Linked DNA regions of Danio rerio. The protein of the gene in region 1 purifies or fractionates together with the protein of each later gene. This does not show direct contact. Links are inferred from orthologs where the notes say so. Each region holds a gene or a part of one and is shown in the gene's direction. Other genes may lie near its edges. The genes, in order: ciao1 and narfl.

Region 1 (4,338 bases):
GACACTATTGTTTTGAGCCTACAAAAGTGGACACGAAATTTGTAAAGTTTAATGTCTTTCTGTTGTATTCATATAGTGTATTAACTCCAAAATAAATAAAAACAACAAAAAGAAAAGAAAAAAGCCGTACGGCATCAACAGAGTTGTGAAGGAAGAGCTCTTTTCCTTGGTCTCACACACATACAGGCATCTAAACTCGCACAAACACACCTTTTAAACTTGACAAAAACTCTCGAAAACCTTCACTGTCTGCTGTGTCTTTAATATGGTGTAAAGATTATTACGCGTTATTGAAACATCAAGGAGGACGCAGCAAAGAAAAGTCACTTATATAAATTAAAACTACTTTATTATTTTATGCAACAGCCTTACATTTAAAAGAGAAACATAAGGGCGATCATACGCAAAAAGACCCCAGCCTATTTGTTCCAGATGTTTTCTTTCCCTTGTTTATTTATTTATTTGTTTATGTGTTTGGCACATGTACTTGTGTGCGATCAGAAAATTGTGCCCGCCTCTCCTTTCACTCCGCCCCAAAGCCCCAGATGGCCCTCTTTGGCCCAAGGTATTTGGGGGGCCGAAAAAGGCCGGCCGCTGGCCCCAAGAAAGCCCTGATTTGGCTTGATTAGCCCCCGGAAGTGACAGTGGAAACGCGACTGGCCGTGGCTCGCTCGCTTTAGGCGCGATAGTGAAAACGCGGCTATTATCCTTAGACGCTGGCTAGATATTGAATTTTGATCACCTGACATCACAACCTAAAACTAACCTAATATTAACGTCTTATGACGTTGTGTGCTTGCTGGGCAATAACTCAATGCACTACAGAATTTTACGTTTACACACATTCACAAACTACAACGCATCAGTTTTTACCAGCGTAATACTCACTACTCTTGAGTACTTTTGAAAGGGCTACTTTTTACTCATACTTTGAGTAATATTCACAACATATAATTTTACTCTACTTGCACTTCATTTTTAGGCAAGTAATGGTACTTGAGTAGGATTTTTCAGTATCTTTCCACCACTGATGGAAACACAACTAGCTGACTTCTGTAGTAGTTTTTGTTCCAGCTATGGATGTCAACGGCTGCTTTTTTTCTTCAGAATGTCTTGTTTTGTGTTCAAAGGTTTGGCATTACTTCAGGGTGAGCAAATAAATATTTAGCTTTGTGTGAACTATCCCTTGAATGAAACGCTACAGTCCTGATGGTGGCGCTACTGCCGCGCATTTCTATCAACCGCAAGACACTGAAGCACAAAACAGGAAGCGGGAAGCAGCTGATAAACAGAAGACTTGAAGTTGTGTGACATCCGAGAGAGAACAGTGCTGCCGACAGGGAAACATTTACATGTCACATAGTAATAATTAATAACACACAGTTATATGAAATGAAGGGCGCGCTGGAGCTACAGCACAGGGTGAGCGCGCACCCGGACTCGCGCTGTTGGTACGTCGCGTGGAATCCCGCGGGCACGACGCTCGCGACCTGCGGCGGAGACCGTGCGATAAGAATATGGGGCAAAGAAGGTAAAACATAGCAAAATACATGTGTACAGCACACGTTTAAATCTATTTATTTAACCCTTCTGTTGTATTAGAATTATGTATACACGGTTCGCCCTTCACTAAACCCAAAACTGGTTTTATATTTAGACATTCGGACTTTCTCCTTAACTTAATAATATAAAGCTAATGATTATCAAAGTAAATCATTGTTTACAGTTAGATAAATAGTGTTAATGTTGTTTTTAAGCCATACTTGCATGTGATTTCAGACCGAATATACAAAGTACCATGATAAACATTATAGGAAGCATGTCACAAGTTGTCACTTAATGAATGGACGAATATAAAACCCAACTCTAACGTTATCTTAATTAAAATAAATCAGCTACATTTTATTTCAATCCTCAGATCTATTTTGCACAAAGAAACCATCTCATCTTCATCACAAACTCTGAATGTCTAGGTTTCCCTCAGGTTTCATTGTGGAGTATTTCACCAATGTTTAACTTAATCAGAGGCCATAGGTTTTGACTGAAGTACAGGCTTTATTTTCTAATGCTATTGTGTGTGAGTATTGTTTTTGTAGTGTAAAAATGGTTTTATAGTTGGTGTCAAAATTGAGCACAAGGACAACCGTTGTACCCTAATGTGTGAGCAATTCCAGCATTTTGGATGTGACAATTATTAGTTAAGCATAATTGCGCAGAGAAAGTATATGTAAACATATTAAAACATATTTATATTTTCTAAAACAACTACAGAGTTATGGGGTCAGAAAAATATTTGCCGGTATAAGATACTGGCGGTATGATAACCTTGGTTTCACGGTATTGTAATTACTGCTCTAAAAGTTATTTTTAAATGCCTGGGTAAAAAAACAACAAAATTTTCCTCCTTTGAATACAATATATTTTATTTTTTGAAAGATTTATAATATTTTGGAGCAGTAAACATGTCAGGCTAAATAATTGAAATTAATTATTGACTTCTGCTGTCTTCATTTGTTTCAAAAACACAGATTTCTTTACAATTTATACGGCATCTTTGGATATCTTTTCTGCTGGAGATGCTGTTGTCCTAAAAAACAAACAAAAAAGTAAATAAAAAATCGTGCACATACCTTAGGAACGGTATCTGCCGATCTGATGCAGTTAGGGAGTTCATTCCACCAACTGGGCAGATTGAATGCGAGAGTTCGGGAAAGTGATTTCTTCCCTCTTTGGGACGGAACCACAAGGCGACGTTCATTCATTGAACGCAAGTTTCTGGAGGGCACATAGATCTGCAGAAGTGAGAGCAGATGAGAAGGAGCAAAGCCAGAAGTCGCTTTGTAAGCAAACATCAGCTTTGAATTTGATGCGAGCAGCAACTGGCAGCCAGTGCAAACGGATGAGTAGCGGAGTGACGTGTTCTTTCAGGTTCATTAAAGACCACTCGTGCTGCTGCGTTCTGAAGCAGCTGAAGAGGTTTGATAGAGTTAGCTGGAAGCCATATATAAAATATATATAAAACAATTTTTTTAAATACTTTTATTGTTTCAGAAAAATGTGATACATAATGTATTAGTAACCAAATACCAATCAAAGAACACCCAACCCCATCCCGACAGAGACATAATATATATATATATATATATATATATATATATATATATATATATATATATATGTTACACATACAGTACATGCAAAAAATATTAATTAATAAATGAATAAAAGTAAAATAAACTAAAATAAGATAAAATAATAATAATAAAAAGGGCAATTTTGAAAAAAAAAGACATTAAGACAATGACAGTTCAACACACATACATTCCAATGAAAGTGAAAAAGATATTAAAGTTAGTCATAACAAACACAGTGCACATTAACACAGTCACATTGTTTGTGATTACTAAACGTTCAGGCCATTCTTACTTAAAAAATAAAGAAAGAAGTCCCAAATCTTGTAAAATATGTGCATTTTTTGTTTGACTGAGTAAGTCAGTCTTTGCATTGCTATACAAGAAGACATTTCCTCAATCCAGAGTGACAAAGATGGACCATGAATACTTCTCCAGTGAATGGCAGTCAGGCATTTCGTATGCAATAGACACAGATTTTAAAACTTCTGTTCATATGACTTCAGCGATAAGGCAGGTGGGAAAAGACCAAGAACACAGATTTAGGGCAAACAGGGATTTCTTTAACAATAGTTTTAGAGATTACATCTATTAGGTATTTCCAAAAGGATTGCAAGTGCTCGCATTGCCAAACACAATGGAATAGTGTACTCTTGTAAGTCAAACATAAAACACAAAACAATTTTGATAATATTAATTTTTATTATATTTAAAATTTGTAAAAGCTTATTGAGAGGGAAAACTTATAGATTTAAAGGAAAAGTAAATATTTCAAATGCAATTAGATAATTATTTTGGGGTCTCACTGTGTTTTTAATGTATTTGCTGTTCTGTTTTTGACAATTTTTTTACATTTTGCTCCATCATGATAACAAAATATTAATACAATTTTAAATAATATAAAATATGAACCCTTTACAGGGCACTCATTGAAATACTCATTGGAAAATCCTTGGTGTTACTGGTGGTAATTACAAGACTTTTGAAGTTTTAGGACTTTTATATAGTCTCTTTAAAACATTAATAGCATCCAGAAAAATAGAAAAAAAGCATTATTGCATTTTCAGCCTCTCGTTTGTTTTCATTCTCAGGGGACAGTTGGGAATGTAAGTGTGTCCTTTCTGATGGACACCAGCGCACAGTCAGAAAAGTAGCCTGGTCTCCCTGTGGGAAATACCTGGCTTCAGCCAGCTTTGATGCCACGACA
Region 2 (3,837 bases), on another chromosome or scaffold:
AGACAGAAGCCCTGCCCAAAATGCCTTGTGCCATACTCAATTAAAAAACATGTCGAAATATTTTCTGAGCCTGATTTGAATGTTATGCAAGACTTAGTTTGTTCTTAATATAAATGTTTTTTTATGACTTACTTGTGTTGTTGCTCTTATTTGTACTAATTGTAAAGTTTGCATAGGGCTTTGACATTTTGTATGGTAAAGTTTTTGTTTGTCAGCTTTCACTAGAACTCCAGAAAAGACCAATGATGCACTCCTCTATTTGCATTGAATATTGACATTACTAAAGTAAACACAGTGGCATGCGATCTTCACAAATCTTTTACTTAAGTTAACAGTGAGTGATATATATATATATATATATATATATATATATATATATATATATATATATATATATATATATATATATATTTTATTTATTTATTTATTTTTTTAATGTTTTCACTTAATAGTGCATACTCACATGTTCGATGTTGGATTCACTTGATTTAATATTAACATAAACAGCATTGTTTTTATTTAAATGATTAATTGATTTTGAAAGGAAATTGATGTTGTTATTTCAAATATTTGTCAAAGATGTTATATACAGTTAAAGTCAGAATTATTAAGCCATCTGATTTATTAGCCCCCCTGTTTTGATTTTTCCCCATTTTCTGGTTAACAGAGACAAGATTTCTTCAACACATTTCTAATCATATTAGTTTTAATAACTCATTTCTAATAACTGACGTATTTTATATTTGCCATGATGACAGTAAATAATATTTGACTAGATATTTTTCAAGACACTTCTATACAGCTTAATACATACAGTTAATTAGGTTAACTAGCCAGGTGTGCATTTCCCAAACAACGACGTAACTCGCAGCTTAACTAACATAGTACTATGCATTGTTTGGGAAAAGAACGATGTAGTGACTAGTGTTTCCCAAAACCCGTAGTTTCTCTCGCAGATCCATCGCTTGAACCACGTTAATTATAATGTAAAACGCCCAGAATAATGCTCTAAACGGTGTGGTAAAAAACTTCTTTATAGAAAAACCCCATCATTTTTTTGCGCAAATTGTATTGTTTTACTCGCACACGCATAAAAAAAATCAATATCAGTTTTAGTAAAAACATGCACTCACTTTCTAAATAATTCAAATATATGTAAACAGCACATATAGGGCTTGTGTTTCCTGTACAAATATTATAGAGAATATTATATATTCTATTCTAAAACATAAAATTCTGATAATATAATAATAATAATTCTGACTTCCACTTCATATGCATACACACACTCATACATACATGTTTCTATAGACATACAGTTGAAGACAAACTTGTTCGCCCTCCTGTAACATGAATAAAAAATCTAATAAGTATATGCTAAGGTCAATATTAATATATTTAATTTCTCAATTGGCTACAGAACAAACCACTGTTGTCCATTGACATGCCTAATTAACTTGTCTAGTTAAAATAAGTAAACTAGTTTTGCCTTTAAATAGAAAAGACAAAATAAATTAGTTATTACAAAATAGTTATTAAAACCATTATGTTTAAAAAATATGTTTTTAGTAAATGTAGGAAATATTTGAAAAAGAACAAACATTTCACAGGAGGGATAATATTTTTATCTCTGTTATCTAACTGATAACTGTGTATATATACACTTAACTAAATAACTATTTTTTTTTTTACTTCTTTATATTTAAATGACATTTCTGATGTCGATATTCATTTCAAAGTAGGATATATTGAAGCTTTGCTATGTCAGATGAGGTATGAGACCTTTATTCTCCATCTTTTGTTATAATAGGGTGTTTCACCACAGATGATTTACCACGTAACTGTGATGCCCTGCTATGACAAAAAACTAGAGGCTTCCAGACCAGACTTCTATCTCAGTGAGCACGAGACCAGAGAGGTGGACTGTGTCATCACTTCAGGTGAGTGAATCTAATCACGTTAAAGCGACAGTTCACCCCCCAATATCAGCTGCTAATTTAGTCCCTCTAAAGACATTGAAAATGTCGGGGCTTTTTTATTTGTTCTGTAATCTGCGGTCCTTCTCTATTTCTAAAATGAAATTAGTGACTACCGACATTCAATTTCTGCAGTGAAACACAATCATTACATGCAAGCTTTTATTTACAGTCTAGTACATTCACATGTATATGAATAGAAGGCAATAGGGATCAATAGTATGACCGCACCTTTACTTGTAATCATTACAGGGTTGTGGTTTGTCTGTTTAAATACAGATTAAATACAGTAACTTGCAGATCTTTGCTGACAGAGAGAACTGGTTAATCCAGTAATCTAAAATAAACCGGTTGTAACTGATGGCTAGTGCAGAAATCAGACGCCACTCAGGACCATTTGTCAAGGCTGTGAATTACAGGTTATAATGCTAAATATAACGTTCAAATATTTGGACAGAGTTATTGTTTTGTCTGAATACTTAAATGTTTCATTAAGAACCATGGGTATATTTTTTGTTTTGCCTTTGTATGTCTTTCAGATTAATATAGTGATGGTTACTATTGACCAGGGCCAGATAGAATCTACATTTAAAATCACATTTAGCTCACATTTGCATAAGTAAATAAATAAGAACTCTCTGTTTTATGTATGCCTGTGGGAGCAGATTCTGTGTGGATCTGGCATTAATTCATTTCATGGTCAGCAATAATCGCCAAAAATCTTCTTTAATGTTTTACTGATAAAAAACAAATCTCCTACATATTTGATTATCTGTGAGCATGGAGCAGCAAATGTTTATTCTGGTGTGAACCATGCCTCAAAAAGACAAACTAAAGTCAACCATTATGACTATTAGAATGTCTCTGGATTTTTTCTGATTGACAGGGGAAGTTTTGAAGATGCTGGAAGAGGAGAAGGTGTCCTTGAGGGATGTTCAGCCGGCACCTTTAGACACTATGTGCGTTCTGCATCTCTTCACAGTCTAATTGAGCTATACATTATGAAATGGAGTCGTCTGGTGAGTTTTGTGATGCGAATGTGTGTTTTAGGTTTAGTAATGTGTGTGGTGAGGAGCTGCTGGGCCACGCAGGAAGCGGATCTGGCGGGTATCTTCATCACATCTACAAACATGCTGCCAAACAACTGTTTGGTGTCGACGTTGATGAGCTCACTTACAAGACTATGAAGTATGTATTATAAATATGCTTCATGCTTATGTATTTCTAATGCAAGAAATATATGAGCAAAATATAATATATATGGCAGTTAATCAATACTCATTAAAGCATGTGACAGAAGGAATACCTGCAGTAAATGCATTGCTTATCACTTGTATAGCTTTTTCATTCATTCATTCATTTTTTTTGGGCTTAGTCCCTTTATTAATCTGGGTTCGCCCCAGCAGAATAAACCACCACTTTATCCAGCATCTGTTTTACACAGCGGATGCCCTTCCAGCTGCAACACATCACTGGAAAACGTCCATACACGCATCCATACACACATACACGTTTTAGCTTATTCAATTCACCTGTACCACACATGTTTTTTACTTGTGGGGGAAACCAGAGCACCTAGAGGCAAACCCACACAAACTCGGGGAGAACATGCAAACTCCACAGAAACACCAACTGACCTAGCCGGGGCTCGAACCAGCACCCTGTGCGATTGTGCTACCCACTGCGCCCCCATGCTGCCTTGAATATCTTTTTTTGTTCTTTTTTTTATTACCCTTTTTGATTTAAAATATTCCCATCAACATTAGTACTGATATGGCATTAAAAAAATAACCAAATAAATAAAAAAAAATAACCAAATGTAAATAAATATGACAATTATTTCTTACACATTAAAGCATTT

Evidence for each region.
Region 2: the proteins of ciao1 (region 1) and narfl purify together in Homo sapiens (affinity purification with western blotting; 3 studies listed by BioGRID and IntAct, with this or other methods). This does not show direct contact. The link is inferred for Danio rerio from reciprocal best matches to the Homo sapiens genes CIAO1 and CIAO3.

Annotation. Positions count from the first base shown.
Region 1 is NC_133183.1:6,297,629-6,301,966, reverse strand, and holds the start of ciao1 (probable cytosolic iron-sulfur protein assembly protein ciao1), read left to right. Parts: upstream 1-1,283; 5' UTR 1,284-1,392; coding exon 1,393-1,531; intron 1,532-4,222; coding exon 4,223-4,338. UniProt on the Homo sapiens protein: Key component of the cytosolic iron-sulfur protein assembly (CIA) complex, a multiprotein complex that mediates the incorporation of iron-sulfur cluster into extramitochondrial Fe/S proteins.
Region 2 is NC_133178.1:17,544,391-17,548,227, forward strand, and holds part of narfl (cytosolic Fe-S cluster assembly factor narfl), read left to right. Parts: intron 1-1,810; coding exon 1,811-1,940; intron 1,941-2,862; coding exon 2,863-2,935; intron 2,936-3,026; coding exon 3,027-3,164; intron 3,165-3,837.